Linked DNA regions of Canis lupus familiaris. The protein of the gene in region 1 interacts with the protein of each later gene in a pairwise test. Links are inferred from orthologs where the notes say so. Each region holds a gene or a part of one and is shown in the gene's direction. Other genes may lie near its edges.

Evidence for each region.
Region 2: the proteins of TRIM37 (region 1) and FAM107A interact in binary tests that used the Homo sapiens proteins (3 or more experiments, as listed by UniProt). The two-hybrid records come from large-scale screens. The link is inferred for Canis lupus familiaris from reciprocal best matches to the Homo sapiens genes TRIM37 and FAM107A.
Region 3: the proteins of TRIM37 (region 1) and COPB1 interact in binary tests that used the Homo sapiens proteins (3 or more experiments, as listed by UniProt). The two-hybrid records come from large-scale screens. The link is inferred for Canis lupus familiaris from reciprocal best matches to the Homo sapiens genes TRIM37 and COPB1.
Region 4: the proteins of TRIM37 (region 1) and PRC1 interact in binary tests that used the Homo sapiens proteins (3 or more experiments, as listed by UniProt). The link is inferred for Canis lupus familiaris from reciprocal best matches to the Homo sapiens genes TRIM37 and PRC1.

What each region holds. Positions count from the first base shown.
Region 1 is NC_049230.1:33,633,534-33,638,885, reverse strand, and holds part of TRIM37 (E3 ubiquitin-protein ligase TRIM37), read left to right. Parts: intron 1-2,724; coding exon 2,725-2,812; intron 2,813-4,482; coding exon 4,483-4,605; intron 4,606-5,352. UniProt on the Homo sapiens protein: E3 ubiquitin-protein ligase required to prevent centriole reduplication. Probably acts by ubiquitinating positive regulators of centriole reduplication.
Region 2 is NC_049241.1:32,347,460-32,352,811, forward strand, and holds the end of FAM107A (actin-associated protein FAM107A), read left to right. Parts: coding exon 1-38; intron 39-1,738; coding exon 1,739-1,895; intron 1,896-2,375; coding exon 2,376-2,483; 3' UTR 2,484-4,944; downstream 4,945-5,352. UniProt on the Homo sapiens protein: Stress-inducible actin-binding protein that plays a role in synaptic and cognitive functions by modulating actin filamentous (F-actin) dynamics. Mediates polymerization of globular actin to F-actin. Also binds to, stabilizes and bundles F-actin.
Region 3 is NC_049242.1:37,791,010-37,796,361, reverse strand, and holds the end of COPB1 (coatomer subunit beta), read left to right. Parts: intron 1-1,051; coding exon 1,052-1,197; intron 1,198-1,967; coding exon 1,968-2,057; intron 2,058-2,961; coding exon 2,962-3,117; intron 3,118-3,595; coding exon 3,596-3,655; 3' UTR 3,656-3,981; downstream 3,982-5,352. UniProt on the Homo sapiens protein: The coatomer is a cytosolic protein complex that binds to dilysine motifs and reversibly associates with Golgi non-clathrin-coated vesicles, which further mediate biosynthetic protein transport from the ER, via the Golgi up to the trans Golgi network.
Region 4 is NC_049224.1:53,755,708-53,761,059, forward strand, and holds part of PRC1 (protein regulator of cytokinesis 1), read left to right. Parts: intron 1-841; coding exon 842-978; intron 979-2,847; coding exon 2,848-2,943; intron 2,944-4,444; coding exon 4,445-4,591; intron 4,592-4,786; coding exon 4,787-4,897; intron 4,898-5,352. UniProt on the Homo sapiens protein: Key regulator of cytokinesis that cross-links antiparrallel microtubules at an average distance of 35 nM. Essential for controlling the spatiotemporal formation of the midzone and successful cytokinesis.

The sequences.
Region 1 (5,352 bases):
AAAAAAATAATTACCCATTTCTCCTTCTACCAACCTTGGCAGCCACCATTTTATTTCCTGCTTCTTCTAGAAGTTTGACTGCTCTAGATTACTCATACAAGTGAAATCGTACAGTGTTTGTCTTTTTGCTACTATTCCTTGATTTTGCATAATGTAGTTTATATTAGAATTTTATTCCTTTTAAAGGATAATTAATATTCCATTGTGTATGTGTATCACATTTTGTTTATCTGTTCATCTATTCATGGACATTTGGATTGCTTCCACTTTTGGGCTATTGTAAATAATGCTACTGTGACCATAGGTATTCATCTTTTCTAGACCTTGCCTTCAATTTTTTCTTTTTAAGATTTTTAAGTGATCTCTACACCACAACATGGGGCTCAAGATCAAGACTTGTACGCTCTGCTCTATTGGTTAAGCCAGCCAGGCATCCATTTTTTTGGAAATACAACCAGCAGTGATATTGCTGAATTATATGGAATTCTGTTTTTAATATTTTGAAGAACTTCCATACTGTTTTCCATGGCAACTGCATCATGTTACATTCCCACCAACAGTGTACAGGATTCCAATTTCTCCATCTTTGCCCTAGGTAGCCATCCTAATGAGTATGAGGAAATATCTTGTGGTTTTGATTTACATTTATCTGATGATTAGGATGTTGAACATCTCTTTGTAATGCTTATTGATTATATGCACATCTTTGGGGAAAAATGTTAAGTCATTTGCCCATATATATTTTTAAAAGATTTTATTTACTTATTCATGAGAGACACAGATAAGCAGAGACATAGAGGGAGAAGTAGGTTCCTCGCAGGGAGCCCAATGCAAGACTCTATCCCCAGACTGGGATCGCGCCCTGAGCTGAAGTCCACGCTCAACCACTGAGCCATCCAGGCATCCCAATTTGCCTGTATTTTAATCAAGTTTTTTTTTTTCTTTTGTTGAGTTGTAAGAGTTCTTTATTTTGGATATTAACTCTTTATCGATACATGCTTTGCAAATAGTCTTTTTTTTTTTTTTTGCAAATACAGTCTTATTCCATAGATTGCCCTTCCAATCTGTTTATTGTGTCCTTTGATGTACAGAAGTTTTAATTTTTTTTTAAGATTTTATTTATTTATTCATGAGAGACACACAGAAAGGCAGAGACACAGGCAGAAGGGGAAGCAGGCTCCATGCAGGGAGCCTGATGCAGGACTCGATCCCAGGACTCCAGGATCATGCCCTGGGCCAAAGGCAGGCGCTAAACCGCTGAGCCACCCAGGGATCCCCTCAGAAGTTTTAATTTTGTAAAAAAGATCTGTATTTTAGAGAGAGTGCACAAGTGAGGGGAGGCAGATGAGACAGACAGACAGACTCACTCTTATACAGACTTCACACTCCAGCATTGTGCTGGATCTCATGACAATGAGATCACAAACTGAGCTGAAACCAAGAGTTGGATGCTTAACTGACCGTGCCACCCAGGCACCCTCAGTTTTAAATTTTGATGTAGTTCATTTTATTTATTTTTGTCTCTCTTGCAGGTGCTTTTGGTGTCAGTAAGAAGTAATTTTGAAATTCAGTATCATAAAGCTTTTCCTCTATGTTTTCTTCTAAGAGCTACATAGTTTTAGATCTTTTATCTATTTTAAGTTAAATTTTGCATGTTAAAAGCTAATGGTTTTTGTCTGCTAGGGCTGCCATAACAATATCACAGACTGGGTGGCTTACATAATACATTTATTTTCTCATAATATTGGGCTTGGAAGTTTAAGGTCAAGGTATTAACGACTTGGTTTCTGGTGAGGCCTTTTTCTTTGACATGGTGGGGTTCCTCCTTGCTGTGTCTTCACAGGGCCTCTTCTCTGTGTGTGAAACTTCTGGTATCTTCCTCTTCTCGGACTGATACCAGTTTTGTTCGGTTAGGATTCCACCTTTAGGACCTCATTTAACCTTCTTTACCTCCTTAAAGACCCTATCTCCAAGTACATTTATATTGGGCTTCAACATAGGAATTTGGGGAGGATGCAATTCAGTTTATAACCAGGTCCAAATTAATGTTTTACACGTGGATATCCATTTTAAGGGGAAATTCATTTTTTAAAATTGAAGTGCTCATTTCTCATGAGAGTATGATATTATGTGTGTGTCTTGATTGTTAGCATTGGCCACATGTGGGACAAATATTTTTATATGTATATGTGTTCATGTAGGTATGGACTCGTGATTTGTTTATAAGATAGAACTTACAGTGATGCTAGGAAATGATGCTATATTTACACTTTATTTAGAAATTAATCTGGGCAGCCCCAGTGGCCCAGCGGTTTAGCACCGCCTTTGGCCCGAGGTGTGATCCTGGAGACCTGGGATCGAGTCCCACGTTGGCCTCCCTGCATGGAACCTGCTTCTCCCTCTGCCTGTGTCTCTGCCTCTCTCTCTCTCTCTCTCTCTCTCTCTGTATCTGTCATGAATAAATATTTTAAAAAATAAAAAAAATTAATCTGCATTTGTCACAATTGTATAGAGTCTTTATAAATTAATGAAAACAATAGTTTAAAAGATTTTGTGTTCACATATGATTTTTTTTAGCTTATAGAAGCATGGAATGCATTTTATATTGTTTCCTGAGTTATAATCTGTTTAAAATTAACTTGTTTTCTAAACTTAGGAATTTATTCAGTAATTATCATATAATTTTAATTAATTTAAGCTATATTTTCTTTTCATAATATATAGATGTGAAAATCACCATGAAAAGCTTAGTGTATTTTGCTGGACTTGTAAGAAGTGTATCTGCCATCAGTGTGCACTTTGGGGAGGAATGGTGAGCAGAAAAAATTTAGCATATTACTTTTAGCTAGAGACTGGAAAGCACCAAAATACTTGTTAGATTTAGATAGAAAATATTATTTTACTCTGCTTATAGATTGAAATTTAAATGCATCTGATTTGTAGCAGAAGGTATCACATACACCATAAACTTCTTTTGTGGGAGATATAGATTTGGAATGTGCATTGCTTACATAAATACATTATTTTAGTTGGAAAAATAGAAAATGTATATTTGTAAATCTTTTATTGTAGGATCAAAGTCTTATTTCTGATTAAAGGACAGTTGATCTGATGTCCTGGCCACAATTTCCAGATTCAGTTTCAAATGAAACAATTTTAGATATTTGTGAAACAATATGAACGCAAACATCTTGATCTTATGGGTTTTTTTTTCTTTTTTCCAGTTTAATTCAAAAGTAGTTTTTAAGGCATTGTACCTTTTATCAAGTCTAAAACACTCAAGTCAGTTTTCCTGTAAACAGCCTTTGTTTCACAGTTTCACTGTTTAATTAATATTTAAATTGTATACCTATGTACTAGGTGCAATTCATGTAAATAGGCTTGAGAACAAACCCAATAGGTTTTTGGTGGGGAGAGTTAGTTGTAGTGGGAGCAGAAGTTGCTAGACAACTAGACATAGCTGTTAGCAATAAGAATTGATCATTCTTGGGGTACCTGGGTGGCTCAGTTGGTTAAGTGTCAGATTTCTGATCTTAGCTCAGGTCATGAGTTCAGACTGAGTTGGAACCTACTTAAAAAAAGAAAAGAATTGATCATTTTTTGGGTATCAGCATATTTCAGGGAGAGAATGACAGGCAACATGGTTCAGTAGAGCTCATTTTAGAGAGTTTTCTGCTAGGATTTGAGTACTAATGTTCTGAGTAGAAAAAACTGAATTCTTACAATTTAGTACTTAATTAAATATGTGGATTTAGTAAGAAGCAATGGGAACATTCTTTTCTATATTTTAAGTGGACATACAAAAATCTACATCTTTTTTATTTTAGAGACCATGGTTGGGTGCTTTTGTTAAACAAGACAATGCTAAGAACTTACCTGTTAATAGTAAGGTTTTGTGGTTTTTTTTGTTTTAGGCTTTATTCATTTTAGAGAGAGTGGGCACAAGTGGGAAGGGCAGAGGGAGTGGGAGAGACAATCCCAGGCAGACCCCACGCTGAGCACAGAACCCAGTGTGGGGCTCAATCTCGTGACCCCAAGATCATGATCTGTGCAGAAATCAAGAGTTGGACACTCAAACAACTGAGCTACCTAGCAGAAGGAGTTAATTTTGCAAAGGCCTAGTGAAAAGAAATTTGAAAACATGAAAAAGGGTAGTTAGTGCTGACCAAGAAGAGAGTGGCAAATAAAGTTGTGTCAGATGGTTTGAGCCATGGTTAAAGATTTTGGTTCTTTCTAAGGAATACAGATTTCTAGATGAGTGTAAATGTTTTCCTGAAATTCTTTATCTGTAATCATTAAGGATTTCCTATATGGGCCAAGTGATCTTGAGAAAGCTCTTGTGGATTTTAACAAAGTAGACAGCCAAAAAAAAATTCATTTGAAAATATTTACTAGTTTCTTAGTATCCACGAAGTGTTAATAAAGAAGTATGAGTGGTTGAGGTAAAAAAAAATGTTCTAAAACTATTCTTAATTTAAATAGCATGGTGGACATACCTTTAAACCTTTGGCAGAAATTTATGAACAGCATGTTACTAAAGTGAATGAAGAAGTGGCTAAACTTCGTCGGCGTCTCATGGAACTGATCAGCTTAGTTCAAGAAGTGGTAAGACTACGACTGAAAGATCATTATCCATTGTATAGTCTATCTTATGTAATATATGTATTTTTACAATACAAATAAATTAATCGAGATTAATCTCGATCGATAATCGAGATTATCGAGATTTAAAAATTTGAGAAGATATATTTATAGTCAGTTTCACCAACTTCAAACTAGCTGAGGAATTTGCATCCAAACCCCTGGCCTGTTCCACATTTGGAACCAGAAAATTGCCTTTTCTTATGCAGAAACAGAAAATCTGTGAATGAGTTAAATAAGCCTGTTTGATATAGTCCATAATCGACTTGTAAATAGTATTGACTTTTACAAAGTCATTGAGTCATTCTTTGGACCCTCAGCTTTTGGGAGAGTTTCTGCTACCAATGAATGAACTATTTCTGATGTCTTGAAGTAGAACTCTACAGAATTGCAAGAGTGATATTTAACACTACTCTTCAGATACTTTATAGGTCAAACAGATTTGGTTGAGTTATTTACCACTTATTATTTATATGGGGAAATGTGATACAAGTTTCAAACATTTAAGTACTGAATATACTTTTTTTTTCTTTCTTTTAAGATTTTATTCATTTATTCATGAGAGACAGAGAGGCAGAGACATAGGCAAAGGGCGTAGCAGGTTCCCTACATGGAGCCCAAGGCAGGACTAGATCGCTGGATGGGGGATCATGCCCTGAGTCGAAGGCAGATGCTCAGCCACTGAGCCACCCAGGCGTCCCCTGAATATAC
Region 2 (5,352 bases), on another chromosome or scaffold:
CAGGAGCTCCACAGAGAGCTACTCATGAACCACAGAAGGTAGGAACAGAGCTCAGTTGCCTCAGCCCGGCAACCATCTCCTCAGGCCTGCTGCGGCTTGCGGAGGTGCCTCTTGTGGAAGGCAGGCCTGATGGTCATGCTGGGTCTCCTGGAGGCTGAAGAGGGCTGAGTGTACCCCACATAGTCACCCACAGAAACTGTGAAAGTCTAGTCCCCAGTGGTCCCCCAAAAGCCCTGCCCTCCTTCCCAGCTACCCACTCATGCCTGTCCTCCACAAACATTTACTAAGCACCTACTATGTGCCAGGCACTGCATCCAGACCTGGCATACAAGAAGGAACAGGACCCAGTTCCAGCCCTGAGAGTGGGGATGGATGCATAACCATGCAGTATGATGAGGGCATAAATGGGCCTGGAACCTCAGAGGAGGCACCTAGGAGTAGTCCAAGGTGACTTCACGGAGGAGAGGATCCCTAACAGCTAACACCTGAAGGATGGGCAAGAGTCAGCCAGACTAGGAGGTGGGCATCGGCGGGGGGAAGCAAGTATGTTCCCAGCAAAGGGAAGAGCATATGCAAATAGGCTGGAAACACAAGTAGCTCAGGGTGTTTGCAGCATGGATTTTGAGGTTGGCCAGAGGAGATGTGCTGGCCAGGGAAGGGTCTCAAGCAGGAATCACAGAGGGGGCATGAGTGGAGCAGGGGTGCAGTGAAAGAGCAGGCTTGAGATGGCAGGGCTGGAATTCAGCAAATGAAGGAAGGTGGGGGAGGCCTGGGAAATACCTCCCAGCTGGCTGGCACCAGGCCGAAGGCCGTGGCGCCTCCGCAGCTCCCTCTACTGGCACATTCTGGAGTTGGCGTAGGCTAGGATTCTCGTATTTTCAGCTCTGTGCAAGACCTTCCAGCAGGTGTCATTTTGTATGCACAGTGGGTTCTTTTTTCCTTGCTTAGTATATATATATCATGTGTATTTTCTCCGAATGTTTTTTAGAGTCATCCCTTTTAATGTAAAAAAAATACTCCCACGATAGAAAAAAAAAGCCTAAAAGACAAATCATATTTATATTTATATTTATATTTATATTTATATTTACAATACAAAACAGACCAAAAAATATATACATATCACTTATAAATCCATAAGGAAGAAAATGAACAAAGGCGGGTATAGTCAGTTTACAAAAGAAATGCAAATGTCTGGTACACATCTCAAAGGCTGTTGTTCATGTAACTAATAATCAGAGAAACAGAAATGAAAGCCAGGTATTATTTCTTGCCTACCAGATCCTAAAATATAAAAAGACTGCATGGTGATGGTGGGGAGGAGTAGATGCTCTTGTACACTGATGACAGAGTATAAATTAGGTAACCTTTCCTAGGGGGCAGATGGAAATATATATCCAAACCCTTAAAAAGAGCCTGACAAAGCAATTCCACCTTTAGAAACTTATCCAGGGAACGTAACCAGAAATAACACAGAACCTGGCCTCTGCAGTCAGACGGGCCTGGGTGCTCATGCTCGCTGAGCCCCTTCATAGCTGTGACCTGGACTGGTGTCTTAAGTCCTAGGAGCCTCATTTCCCATCTCCGGATAACAGGACAGGAATGGGACTACCTCCCGGGGCTGCCAGGAGGGTTGTACTGACAGGATGGTATAGGTAGGTGTCACTACAGGGTGCAGCCCTGAGACTGGGCGGGGCAAGGGGAGAGTTGGGGTCACCTGACGGCTCCCTCCACCCAGGGGCCTGGGCGTGGACAGCAAGCCGGAGCTGCAGCGTGTCCTGGAGCACCGCAGGCGGAACCAGCTCATCAAGAAGAAGAAGGAAGAGCTAGAAGCCAAGAGGCTGCAGTGCCCCTTTGAGCAGGAGCTGCTGAGACGGCAGCAGAGGCTGAACCAGGTGGGTGCGGAGCCTGGCCCAGGGAGGAGCCCTGCCTGTGGTCGCAGCTGGCAAGAGGGAGGAGATGAAGCAAAATGAGGCCTAAACCAGCAGTCCACCACGGGCTCAGGTCCTCACTCTGCCACTCACTCCGTGTGACTGAACCAGTGGCTTTCCCTCCCTGACCCTGGGTTCCCTTATCAGCCCAGTCGATTGCACGCTGATCCTGATCTCATTCTCACTATGTGTCTGCGAGCCAGGCAGCGTTCCCATTTTAGAGATGAAGAACCGGAGGCCCAGGTGAGGCAAGTGATTTGCACCAGGCTTCACAGCAAAAACTTAGTCTCCTGCCTGGTCACCCCAGCTACCAAGGCTGGTGGCAAAGCTGATCCCTGGTTCTGTTTCCCCAGAGAGGATCCTTGGTCCAAACACAGTGGTTTGGGGAATAGGAATTCCCCCGAGCCACACCCACTTTACACCTCTACTTCTTCTCTCCTTTAGCTGGAAAATCCACCAGAAAAGGAAGAGGACCATGCCCCCGAATTTATCAAAGTTAGGGAAAACCTGCGGAGAATCACCACGATAACCAGTGAAGAGAGAGCCCTGTAGGGCCAGGTGGGGGAAGCTCTGGTCCACGAAACCGCCCCCCTCCCAGGCCATCACACCCTCCTCCAGCCCTTCTGTATCCAGCAGCCCTGGGTCCCCAGTCTCGGGCCATCTGTGATGTTCATGCTTACTCTTGTGAAATGCCCCAGCAGGCTTGGACCCCCCTTCCCACCCACCAAGAAGCTGGGGGCCCCAAAGCTCCCAGCTTCTTCCTTCTGAGCATTCACCGCTTCTCCAAAAGGAAGCTGCTGCTCAGAAAACATTCCCAAGGCACCTCTCCCTGAAGGGGCTTCTGAGCTCCGCTGAGATTTTTCTGGCAGAATTGGGAAGGAAAGAAAGGCACCTCTTTGGCCCAACTAGCCCTCCGTTTTGCCCGTGCCTCATGGGCCCTGCTCTCAGAAAACTTCCCTGACTGTGGTTTACCTGCAGCCAGGTGTGGGGCAGCTAAGTGCTGCAGGTCAGCTTGAAAGCCAGCTGAGGGCAATCTGGTTCAAGTGCAGCTGCCCTGGTGAGGAAGGGCGGGGCGGCCCACCGGGCAGCCTTGGGGCTCCCTCCTGCCAGATTGCAAGACCACCACCGAGGACAGCTTCCCCTACACCATGCTTTCGCTCTCTCCTCTCCAAAACCTCCCTGTCTGGGCCTTGTAAGGGCATCTAACCAGGGCTGCAGCCTTCCTGCTCCCAGAAGTCTAGAACAGTGCTTCTCAAACTTTATTGTGCCTGCGAATCACTGGGGATCTTGTTACAGTACAGCTTCTGATTCAGTCGATCTGGGGTGGGGGCTGAGAGTTCGCATTCCTAACCAGCTCCTGGGCTGCTGGTCTGAGGCCCACACTGTAAGCAGCCACACATGGTAAATAGTGGAAACATGATCCCTGAAGCCACCTCTGCCCCCTAACTAACTGCCATGAATCTCTGCCCTGGGGGTGCCCTGCCTCTGCAGCCCCAGGGGCTCTCCATAATCCACCCCCTTCCAGGGCCCCAGACCTTGGAAGAGAGTTGCCGAGCAAATTATATATCGGTTGCATAATTGTCATTGACACTGGAGAGGTATATCATTGCCAATCTGCATTTTCTTACCACACTGTTCTGATGTAACTCTAGCCAAAAGGAATTTTTGTTTTGTTTTGTTTTACCTTTTCCTAAAGCCTACGGAGAACAAATATAGAGTGATTTCCAGTGGGTTTCTGGAAATATGAACACTGGTCTGAAGACCCCACTGCTACCCTTACAGACTGGCTCCTCTGAGTCCGCAATTCCATCCCCTGCTCCAACTCCCTACTCGGTTTCTACTACCTGAGCCAGCTCCAGTGAATTCACTTACTCTTCCTCAAAAATCCCTCCCCACAGGAGACCAAGTGTTGCAACATTTTGCTTCTATCCCATTGTTAAAGATTCAGAGAATAAACCAGGCTGGTTGTGTCCGCCCTCCCCACTCCCCATGAAGAATAAAATCCCCACCTCTGACTTTGCAAACCTATCATTTAAGGTGATAGGACAGTACTAGAAAAGCATTTCCTTTCACCCCTCAAAACTGCGGGGGGACAAAGCTGCCACTGGAATGCTATTTTATTCTTGGACCAAAAGTGGGACGTTCAGGAGGAAAGGGGTCATCCTGGTCTTCACTCCTAACTGAGTGGTTTGAGGATGACCAAAGATGTTGCTCTTTTCATGCGTGGGTGCCAGCCATTGTGTAAATAGACATGCTGTGTGCTTGTGTGTGTGTGTGTATAAATGTAAGTGAGGCTCTAAAAGGCCCTTGAACGTGTCTTAATGAGAACGTGGTGATGCTATTTTAGATGTCTGCCAGGTGAGAGCAATGCTAAAGCACAATCCCCAAATAAAGACCACCATTTCCCCAAAGAAGTCTCCCCAGCAGTCTGTGTGGTGTTCAGACATATGAAGAGAAGCAAGACAGCATCTAGGACGGAGTAGGCCCCTCAGAGAGAATGCTTGAGACTTCACTCAGTGGCCCCCAGAGGTGCTCCATGGAGAAGGCAAGCCATGGGGATGAAACCCCACATGGTCTAGTGGAACCATGGCAGCCACCCATGTACATTCCCCATGGTCGGTCCCAGCCCCTTCATTCCAGTTGCCTCCCACTGTAGAGGTTGTAAATCCCAATTCCCACTGTTCCAGCTTCCTTTGCAGCTTGGGGTGACAAGTGACCAGGTATGGCCAGTGCAATTTAAGAGGCAGTCTTACAGGGGCTTCTGGGAAAGTTTATGCTTTTCTGATAAAAGAGGCAGACATGGGTAACACCTCTCTGCCCCTCCATTCTTCCTGCCTTGATTGAGGATGTGATGCCTGGAGCCCCAACAGCCACCTTGCTACAATGAGAAAAAGGCCAAGAGAATCTCACAGACACTGACCTACCCTACCATCATTTGACCAAGCTGATGCCGGCAGCCATACTCCTTCAGAATTCTTGTAAATAAAGTGAAAATCCCCTTTGTTTAAAGCCATTGTTGGTCAGTCTCTGTTACTTGCACCCAGAGTATTTCTGAATACCAGCCCCCATGCCTAGAATGACCAGCAGACTATACTGAAAATCCAGATTCTTCCTTCCCATTAGAGATCAAATGGAGGGGCTCCTGGGTGGCTTAGTTGGTTAAGCATCCAACTCTTGATTTCAGCTCAGGTCATGATCTCAGGGTTGTGGGATGGAGTGTACTCACACACGCATGCACATCCTCTGTCTCTCTCTCAAATAAATAAACAAATCTTTAAAATAGTTAATTATTTTTTGAAAAAAGAAACCCTTTGGACTAGGATCCCTGGCAGCGATGCCTGAGATCTGTTTTTCTGTATCTTCTCCACATAGCCCACGCACCGGCCTGAGAACTGGTATTCGGGCATCTTTAATTCACACA
Region 3 (5,352 bases), on another chromosome or scaffold:
GATGAGGCAGTCATAGAAGTAAATAATCTTGTAATCATTAAGTACTGTGGCTCCTCAATATTCATTAAAACATATTTGTTAAGTACCTCCTAGGGAGCACTATGACTTACATATCCCCATGGAGGGCCTCACACTGCAACTGCTATGCATGTACTGACTGAATTTGAATCCTGCCCCTACCACTTAATCAGTTCTGTGGCCTTAAGCAACTTACTTGACTTCTTTTTGTTTTGTTTCCTCATCCATAAGATGGAAAATGATAATACTATAACATAGGATTGAAGGAGTATTAAATAGGTAATATTTTTAAAGTATTTAAAATAAGAGCCCAGGATATAAGCATTATATAAATAGTTGCTAATCTTATAATTATTATCTATAAATATTAAAACTTTTTTTTTAAGATTGTATTTATTTATTCATGAGAGACACAGTGAGAGATGCATAGATATAGGCAGAGGGAGAAGCAGGCTCCCTTCAAGGAGCCTGATAGGGGACTCGATCCTGGATCCCAGGATCACACCCTTGAGACAAAGGCAGATGCTCAACCACTGAGCCACCCAGGTGTCCCATATTAAAACTTTTTTTTTAAGATTTTATTTATTTGTTTGTTCATTCATTCATCCATCCATCCATTCATTCATGAGAGACACAGAGAGAGCGAGAGAGAGGCAGAGACACAGGCAGAGGGAGAAGCAGGCTCCATGCAGGGAGCCTGACATGGGACTCGATTCCGGGTCCCCAGGATCACACCCCGGGCTGAAGGCAGCACTAAACTGCTGAGCCACCCGAGCTGCCCTCAAAACTATAAAATAAAATTTGCCTCTGATGTTTCAGGACCTTTTTTTTTTTTTTTTTTAAAGATTTTATTTATTCATGAGAGACGAGAGAGGCAGAGACATAGGCAGAAGGAGAAACAGGCTCCCTGTGGGGAGCCTGATGAGAGACTTGATCCCAGTAGCCCAGGATCATACCCTGAGCCAAAGGCAGACATTCAACCACTGGGCCACTCAGGTGTCCCCTCAGGACCTTGTTTGTGTGTATTTTGCAGTTTATGATGTCTCTGGAGCAGCAAGTGACAGAAATTGCGTAGTCCTCAGTGATATTCACATCGACATCATGGACTATATCCAGCCTGCCACTTGCACTGATGCTGAATTCCGTCAGATGTGGGCTGAATTCGAATGGGAAAACAAAGTGAGTCCTTGGGAGATTTCCTTCAGCTTCTTATCTTACTTTTTTGGCTAGTGTTGGGGATTATCTGATAAAATTAGTCCCACTAAAAAGTCTCAGATGTGAGAAGCAGCTTCTCGGTATCTATTCTTGCAAATTAGCCTTAACCATGCAAGTTAATTATGTGAGTAGTATGGTAAGTTGTTTTAAACTGATTAGAGTAACAGTTGTATAATTTTTTTTTTAAGATTTTATTTATTCATGAGAGACCTAGAGACAGGGAGGCTGAGACATAGGCAGAGGGAGAAGCAGGATCCCTGCAGGGAAGCCTGATGTGGGATTTGATCCCGGATCCCAGGATCATGCCCTGAGCCAAAGGCAGGGGCTAAACCGCTGAGCTACCCAGGTGTCCTTGTATGATTAATCTGATAGATACAGACATTAAAGACAATATACCATCCCTTGTATGTGTGAATAATAACTTACCATTGAATCCGTGTCCAGAAGAGGTTTTGCAAAGTCAGTGTCCTTGATTTTTGTTAGAAATATTTAAATGCAGCATGGTGATCTTTTATGAAGTGATCTATGTATGAAAGTTCTGATACCAACTTGCAGCTTGCTGGATTTTGCAAAAGATGTCATTTGCTTTTTTGTTGCCCACCCTCCCCACCAAATACTTGGAAGGAGGTTCCATATGACATATAAGTCTGTTTTCTCAACTCTAAGATCAGAAAACCAGAACTTTCTCCTTATAAGGATTATGATCTCTTTGACTTTTTTCTCCCTCTATACAGGTGACGGTTAACACAAATATAATCGATTTAAATGACTACTTACAGCATATATTAAAGTCAACCAACATGAAATGCCTCACTCCAGAGAAGGTAAGATTTGATTGAGAACTTCTTAAATCTGATAGAGAGTAGTATGGCAGGTTCCTGGCTTTCTTGTATTCCCTTTAGTGGGTTTTTGTTACTGTTCAGTGTGAGAAAAGCAGTGTCATTCTAGACTCGCTATTATGAGACGTTATCCCACACCTACCTCTTTCACATACCAGCCTCCTTGCTCCTAGTGCAGGGAACCAATTGAATAGTCATTCGTTTTTCTTTTCAGTCTTCCTTTCAGCTAAAGAAAGACTCATTCCAAAATAGGTTTTGATACTGAATTAAAAAATGTCCATGACCTCTTCTCTTGGCTCTGATTATGGGTCGGAATATATCTGTTCAGATATAGGATTTTCTACTAAGTTCTGTATATATGAAAAAAAAAAAAAAGACTAGAAAAAAGAAAAATGAAGATGAGACTCTAAAGAATTTTTTTCTTTGTAGAATTCCTGCTAATGCTAATTTTATCAGTGAAATTCTGCCAAATGGGTTTTAATTCATATATTAGTTTATTCAACAGATAGTCTAACAAATACACAAACATCATATGCCCAGTACTCTCTGAGCTACTGGATATACAGTAATGAACAAAATAAAAATTGTCTCTCCTTTATGGAGCTTAAGGTCTGGTGCAAACAACTCTGTAAGTAAACAGGGAATGTATAAATACAAACTGAAATAAGTGCTATTTCTTTAAAGTCATTTTTATTGGGGTATAATATAGACACAGTAATATTCACACCTTTTACACATACGATTCTCTGAGTTTTGACATGTTATGTAGTCATATAACCACCATCATATGGTAAGTCTTTATTTTAAAGGATAATTTACCTATGCTGGTGGGTCTTGCTTATGTGTGGTTCTCTAGAGAAGTTCTGAATATATCATAAATTTCTTCTAGGCTCTTTCTGGTTACTGTGGCTTTATGGCAGCCAACCTGTATGCTCGTTCCATATTTGGAGAAGATGCACTTGCAAATGTCAGCATTGAGAAGCCAATTCAACAGGGACCAGAGGCCCCTGTTACTGGCCACATAAGAATTCGTGCAAAGAGTCAGGTAATGGTTGGGTTTTGTTTGTTTGTTTGTTTTTGAGATCATCTCTGAACTGAACAAAAAGTTTAATTCTTCATTATTTCTATGTGTAGCATTCTCTGTCATACTAGTGTTGTATGTGTTAGATGCATATATATAATAATAATATTCTCTGAACAGAAATAGAACTTTTGCTTAATTAAAATGGCCCACTTTTTGGGCCTGTCATTCTGGATTATTCGCTTAAAACAATATTGATTCCCATAGGCTGTGAAATGATTCTCTAAAGTTTTTTGAATGAAATCCAAGCTCAGATCTAGTGACTATTTGTAAATCTAGCACTAAAAGTATTTAACAAAGTAAAGTTTTAGTGAGTCTGTTTTGTACCTCCTTGTTTTCTTTATTGATGTGGTGCCATTGAATGGGGGCTTGGTTAAGATAGAATAACCTACTGGTTTTATGTAATTTTAACAATTATAAACATTTGCATTTTTCCTTACAGGGAATGGCCTTAAGTCTTGGAGATAAAATCAACTTGTCTCAGAAGAAAACTAGTATATAAGAATAAATAAAAAGTCCTTGCAGCTTTACAGTAAAATTTAGGTATGGGCTTATTGGACTCCAACATCTTTTGTACTCTTTCATGCTTTATGTTCTATAGAATCTGAATTCATGCTGAATGCATTCCAGCCTATAATTTATAGCCTTTCCCTTAAATCAAGATTGACTTTAAAATTATAGTTTGTCTTTTGTCTTAACAATTCTGAATGCTGTCCTCAAAGTATATAATGTTTCTCACATGTACCAAGACCATTTTCACAGTACAATAAACAGATCTATTCCTAAATCTTTTGTTATTTTATAAATAAATATAATTACCTAATTTTAGTTATGTAGCAATGGATTTCTTATAGTTTGGTTATAGGTTTCTACTATAAATTTAAATCACTCTGAGTTGTACATATACAAACTTTGTTAAAGAATTTACAAATTCAGTGATACAAATTGAGACAGACCTTGACTTACTTGATTGATTTTTACTTGTTTACTATTTCGACATCAGTATCTCTAAAAATGACTTACTGTGTTCCTAGGGCTTTTCTCTGGAATTGAGCTCTAGGAGGAAGTATCAAATAACTTGAGACAACAGATCCATCTTCAGTTTAAAAGAGTATTATGAGCCCTGACTTAAATAAACATACTCTTCTTAATGATCCTGAATCATAATGAAGAGTAATAAACCAAAGTAGATCTTTCAATCATTCACATTTAGCTCGGAGTCTTATTTTGTTTGTGGAATTATATTTGCTGCACCCAGTTACTGAGACTGCCCTGGGAGGATTCAGCTCGAGGGAATTCAGAAAGCTGTGCTGTGCCCATGTCTCCTCTGAACCTTACTCATCCCTCCCTTTTTCTTCCTTTACACCAGGGCTTGGGCACATTTGCCTCTTGATAGGATTCCACGTGGCTCTCTGTACTGAGTTCCCTAGAGCCTAATTGTGCTGTCCTTTTGGTCCTTGCCTTCCTTGGGGATGATGGAGGTAGTCTGATCTTTTAGCTAAGTCTGTACATTGAACTATTACGCTTTGTATTTGAGCTAGGCTTCAGGCTACAGTCAGGATGTGTCCACAGATTAGTTCTGTGAAAGAGTGAAAGCAGCATCTCTTATTTCGGCACTTGAGAGTGAAATGATTTGTTTGGAGCATAAAAGAGATTGATACCTTGTATGATGTCATAAACTTTGAAGCCACTTGCTTTTTTAATCAGAAAGACCCAGAGGATTACAAGACATTTGAGATTCCCTGGTGCTGAGGTCTCAAAGCCAAGTCATTGGCTACCGACGGGGAAGATACTAGGAATGAAGAAAGGGGTCAGTTTGATAAACATTAAGTCAAATGCTGCAGATTTATGATGAGAGCAGAGGAACTGATGAAACTTTAGATCATTTCCCAAACTGTTCCATTGAACATTAGCTTCTTTGATGTCATTAGATATTCTGGGGAAAAAAAGGATTCCATAGTCAAGTAAGTAAGCTCTGTACTGTCCTGTACTGGAGATTCACCCTGTACATTAGCATACTAGAAATTCTGAGAGGTCCTTCAGGAATAAAGAAGCAGATTAGTTTGGTTTAACCCAATATCTTAGCCTTACTTGACCAGGGTATCCATTTTCATAGAATACCTTTACATGATACCATGAGACAGAAAAAGTGACTTATTAGCATGTGAAAGATTTGGGTTTATATTCATAAGCAACCAG
Region 4 (5,352 bases), on another chromosome or scaffold:
CACAGAGAGAGAGGCAGAGAGAGAAGCAGGCTCCATGCAGGGAGCCCAACGGTGGGACTCGATCCCGAGTCTCTAGGATCAGGCCGTGGGCTGAAGGTGGTGCTAAACTGCTCAGCCACCCGGGCTGCCCAAAACACAGTGCTCTTGTTGTGGCCTCCTCACTTGTCTTTATGAAGGCAGCCATTCACCAGCACGTATTTTCCTTACTGAACAGATAGAGCACCTTTTCAAGCCTTTTAGCATAAACTGCCATTCCTGTATAATTAACATTTGCAGATGCTTCTAGCAAAGGGTCTCTTGATTTCTGATATAGTAAATCACCACAGTCTGTAGTTGTGAGGCTCGTCTATCAGGTGCTTACTCTATGCCAGGCTCAGTGAATCCTCATGGCAAGAGGTGAGGACATGAAAGTACATAAATGTTCAGCAACTTAACCCAGAGGGATGTAGCAAGTAAATAGCAAAGCCCACATCTGAGCCCATGGAGTTCATTCCCAGGAGCTAAACGGAATTCTGGTCTGGCCTGAACTGAGTATAAAGATGAGATTGTCTACTAAATTTTTAGACATTTTCTGTGAGCAGGATGGAAAGAAAGAATATGAAGGAGACCTAGAACAAGGTCAGAGATGCCCTAAAGCTTTGAGAGTCTTAGCCCATACCTTAGCCCTTAGTGCCCCTTCCCCAGGTTGATCATGTGATAGGGCTGGCTTTATCATCTGCAGTCTATACTTACTGCATGTGTCACTTTTACTATAAGGAAGAAGGAAGTTGAAATGAGGGACTAGTAAATTGGGCTACTAAACGCTAGAATTTTTGTAAACTACTGGGTCTGTATCTCGCAGAGGACTACACGGAAAATCTGCTCCAGCTCCATGATGCTGAGATTGTGCGGTTAAAAAACTACTATGAGGTCCACAAAGAACTCTTTGAAGGTGTCCAGAAGTGGGAAGAAAGCTGGAGGCTTTTCTTGGAGTTTGAGGTACCACCCCAGCTTCTGTTTCCATGGAGTCCATAATCAGTTGTTAAGGCCTAGCCTGCACGGAGCCAGGGTGCATTCTCCTTTGCTCTCTGCCAGGGTTCTCACACCCTGTCTTTATCACGAAGTCTCTGAATTACCACTAACTCCTCTGTATTTGTGAAGCTTGTACGTGGGACACAGAATACCATCAGTGCCTTCAGGAAAGTAGCATTCCTTGCATGTAGGAAGTCCAGGGCAGGTATGGCTGTTTCACAGCCAGGGGTGCCCCAGGCTTCTCCAGCCCATGCATGGCTCCCCACCCACTGAGAGGTGAACATTATCCTCAGGTCCACGGTGACTTTAGAACTCTTACTGTTGCACTTTGAGTATTGACCCTCCAGCCCCTCTGAGGGCTCTTCCAGCACCTCTGCCTGCACACCAGCTGCTGCTGAGGCTGGGGGAGCTGCTACCACAGATAAATTCAGGTTCTCCGTACCAAGGAAGGAGATAGTGAATGTTGGGGCAGGTAGTTCGTAATATGCTTACATTCCAACTTCGTGGTCTTCTTAGAAAGTTGCCTTTCTAAGTGTTAGGGCACATTTCTATAGTCTGAATTCCATTTTTTCTGACAGACTTGGTACTCATAGCTTCCCTCTGAACTTTTCAGAGCTAGGGGCTGGGTCTTGGATAAGCCAGACGAGACTTGTAGGGGAGAAGAAACTCACTCTGAGCTTGAAGAGGCCGTTAGAGAATCAGTCAATCCCTTCAAAGTCACAGGCTAGAAACTAGGATTCAAATGGAGAGAGCTGTATGAGGTCTTACAGCTGCTTGAGAACAGATGTTCTAGCCCTCAGCTACTCCTTAACTTGTGGTTGAAAGCAAGAAGGAAGGGTCTCATTGACATGCCAGTATTTAGGGAAAAATCAGAAACAAATTGCCATCCCCTTCAGTTAGTGTTTATAGGCATTCACCAATCAAGCGGTCTTGATGGGAAACAATTTCTTCATAGGCTTTGCCTCCAAATTGTCAAGATTGTTTCTGGTTTTCTGATGATCTGCTCTGCTTTTTGAGTGTGTAAACCTAATTTATATATACAAATTACAGGCTTAAATACCGTTGTGATACACTGTATACACGATACAGTAACAAGAAGTGGAAAAGAAGCCTAACACTTTACATTTTTACTTGCCCATTTTGTGAGTGTTGATTTCATAAAAACCAGATTATCAGCCTCTTAACTGGGCACATTTAAGCTGCATTGTCAATATGCTAGGAGTGAGTGGGCAAGTAGGGGTGCCACCCTAAGCCCTCCTGAGTGTAGACCTCTCCCTTGTCCCTCCACATGTCTCATTCCCTATAACTGACAGTCATCTTTGACATTAGAACCAAGGGAGGGAACCAATGACATTGTGCATTACACGTTAAAGCGTATATTATTTATTTTTTTTAAGGATTTTACTTATTTATTTGAGAGAGAAGGAGAGAGCATAAGCCAGGGGGAGAGGGAGAGGGAGAAGCAGCAGCCGCCACAGACTCCCTGCTAGCAGGGAGCCTGACGAGGGTCTCGATTCAGGAACCCTGTGATCATGACCTGAGCTAAAAGCAGACGGTTAACTGATTGAACCACCCAGGCACTTCCTATCATACTTTTAGATTAAAAAGGAAACAGTACTTTTCCTACATGCCATTGGATGATCTTGCATATGCCTATAGTACTCACACCCCACTCTCTTCTCTTAGAACACCACAGTTTCTCATCGCTGACAATGGATGGGAACGTAAAACTGAGAGTCTCCTTAATATGTGTTAGTTTGACAACAGGGAATCTTAGCAGAAGTAACTAGTCTGACTCTCTCAGGGCTTACTCTAATTAAAAGGTATTTTTCACAGAGAAAGGCTTCAGATCCAAGTCGATTTACAAACCGTGGAGGAAATCTTCTAAAAGAAGAAAAGCAACGAGCCAAGCTTCAAAAAACACTTCCTAAGGTAATAACTGCCGCTGAGAGTTTTTGGTGCTTGGCTACAAAATACCTTTTTGTATATCCTTTGCTTTGAATTGTCTTGCCCCAGAACTGTCTTCTCTTCCAGTGCTTAGGCGAGGGTGGTAAGTATATACCGAGCCTTCCTGGTGTAAGCCTTGAATATCACGGTTTATTGGCTTTTTATGGCTGCCATAGCAAAGTGCCACAGCCTGGATTGCTTAAACAACAGAAATTTATTTTTTCACAATCCTGGAGGCTAGAAGTCTGAGATCAACTATCAATATGGTTGGTTTCTTCTGAGGCCTCTTCGACTTGTGGATGATTTGCCTTCTCCCTGTATCTTCATATGGCTTTTTTTTTTTTTTTAATTTATTCATGAGAAACACAAAGAGGCAGAGACATAGGCAGAGGGAGAAGCAGGGAACCTGATGTGAGACTCAATCCCAGGACCCTGGGCCTAGGCCCTGAGCCAAAGGCAGATGCTTAACTGCTGAGCCACCCAGGCATCCCAACATGACCTTTCTTCTCTATGTATCTATGTCCATATTTTCTCTTAAGGTCACCAGTCATGTTGGATTAGGACCCACCCAAATGATCTTATTTTTTTTCCCCAAATGACTTCATTTTAACTTCATTACATGTATGTCCAAAAAAGCCACATTCTGAGGTACTGGGGGTGGTAGGGGCTTAAACATGAATTTGAGGAGGGTACAATTCAGCCCATAACATAGGCAAGCTTTTGAAAAAGTGCTGTGAGCTTCATTATGTTTTTTTGTTGTTGTTGTTGTTGTTGTTGTTTTAAGATTTTATCAGAGAGAGAGAGTGCACGGGGGGATGGGGGAAGGGAGAGGGACAAGCAGACTCCTCACTGAGCAGGGAGCCTGACACAGGGCCCAATCCCAAGACCCAGAGATCATGACCCAAGCCGAAGGCAGGTACCAGCTAACTGAGGCACCCAGGCACCCCTCCTGTTGTCTATTTTAATAATAATTGTTAGCATTTATTGAATTAAGTACCAGATACTATTGCAGAATATTTTCCATTTATTTATTCATTTAGTTGTCACAGCATCCTTATGGAATTGGTATCATTTCCATTTTTGTAGATGAGGAAATGGAGGCCCTGAGAACTTAAGTAACTTGCTCACCTTTTCATAGTCAATAAGCAGTAGATCAGGTCGGAACCTGGATAGTGGTGCTCTTAACATACACTGCCTATTTCATGCTGCTCATCTTCCCCAGTGCTGCCTCCAGCTTTAGGTGCCAAAACCCGAGTTAGACTATGGGTTCTTGCCCTTTCCCACCTTCATGTGTTATGAATAAACTATCCCTAGGCTTTGCCTCCTGGTCACTCTGACCTCTACTCATGTGGGTCTAGCAACCTGAAGTTCGTTTGGCTCATGGTGCTCTGGGGCGGCGTCTTCCTTTGGGAGAATCATTTCATTCAGGCTTTATATTTATATCAAAGAGTTGAAATAATTAGCATGTCCTTGTCTGTGGTCTCAGTTGGAAGAGGAGTTGAAGGCACGGATTGAAACATGGGAACAGGAGCATTCGAAGGCATTTGTGGTGAATGGACAGAAATTCATGGAGTATGTGATGGAACAATGGGAGATGCATCGACTGGAGAAGGAACGAGCCAAGCAAGAAAGAGTGAGCGAGCACAGTGTGGGACGAGGGGACAGTGGGATGTGAACAGCCCAGGGTCTCTGTCATGGGTGTGGGGTGGCTGAAGACGTAGCCCCGGGTATAGGGACTTGGCACTAGATTTCTGGCCCTGTTTTGTCCCATCTCACACTTGTTCCCTTCCTGAGATTTATCACTATTGCCTCTGACTTTGACACACAGCAACTCAAGAACAAGAAGCAGACAGAGACAGAGATGCTCTATGGCAGTATTCCCCGAACCCCCAACAAGCGGCAAGGCCTGACACCTAACAGGCCTGGCAAAGTGCGTAAGGTAAACGTGAGGCTATGAACCGCTGTTTATGGGGGGTGTTGCTGAGGCTAGGACTCTTGGCCACATTTTGGCTTCTGCCCAACAGATGAGAAAGGGTTTCTTAGACCTTCTGGGTTGGATTCACCTAAAAGTATGAATGGAAGACTATACCGTACCCCCAGTAGCATTCAAAGGTTCATCCTGGAATTCCAACAAGTGACCATGGTATTCTGTGAAAGACTTTCTTGTTTAGAAAATGGAATATTCAGCACTCCTTAATCTCTAGAGCAGGAGCTTGGGGAGGATTTTTTAAACTTTTCTTAGATAAATGGAATAAAGCATTACTTCCCTTCTCTTTCCTCAGCTTAAATATTTTATAACCTATAGCTTAAAAATCACCTCAGGGGTACCCAGCTGGCCCAGCTGGCTCGGTCAGTAGAACATGTGACTCTTGATCTCAGGGCTGAGAGTTCAAG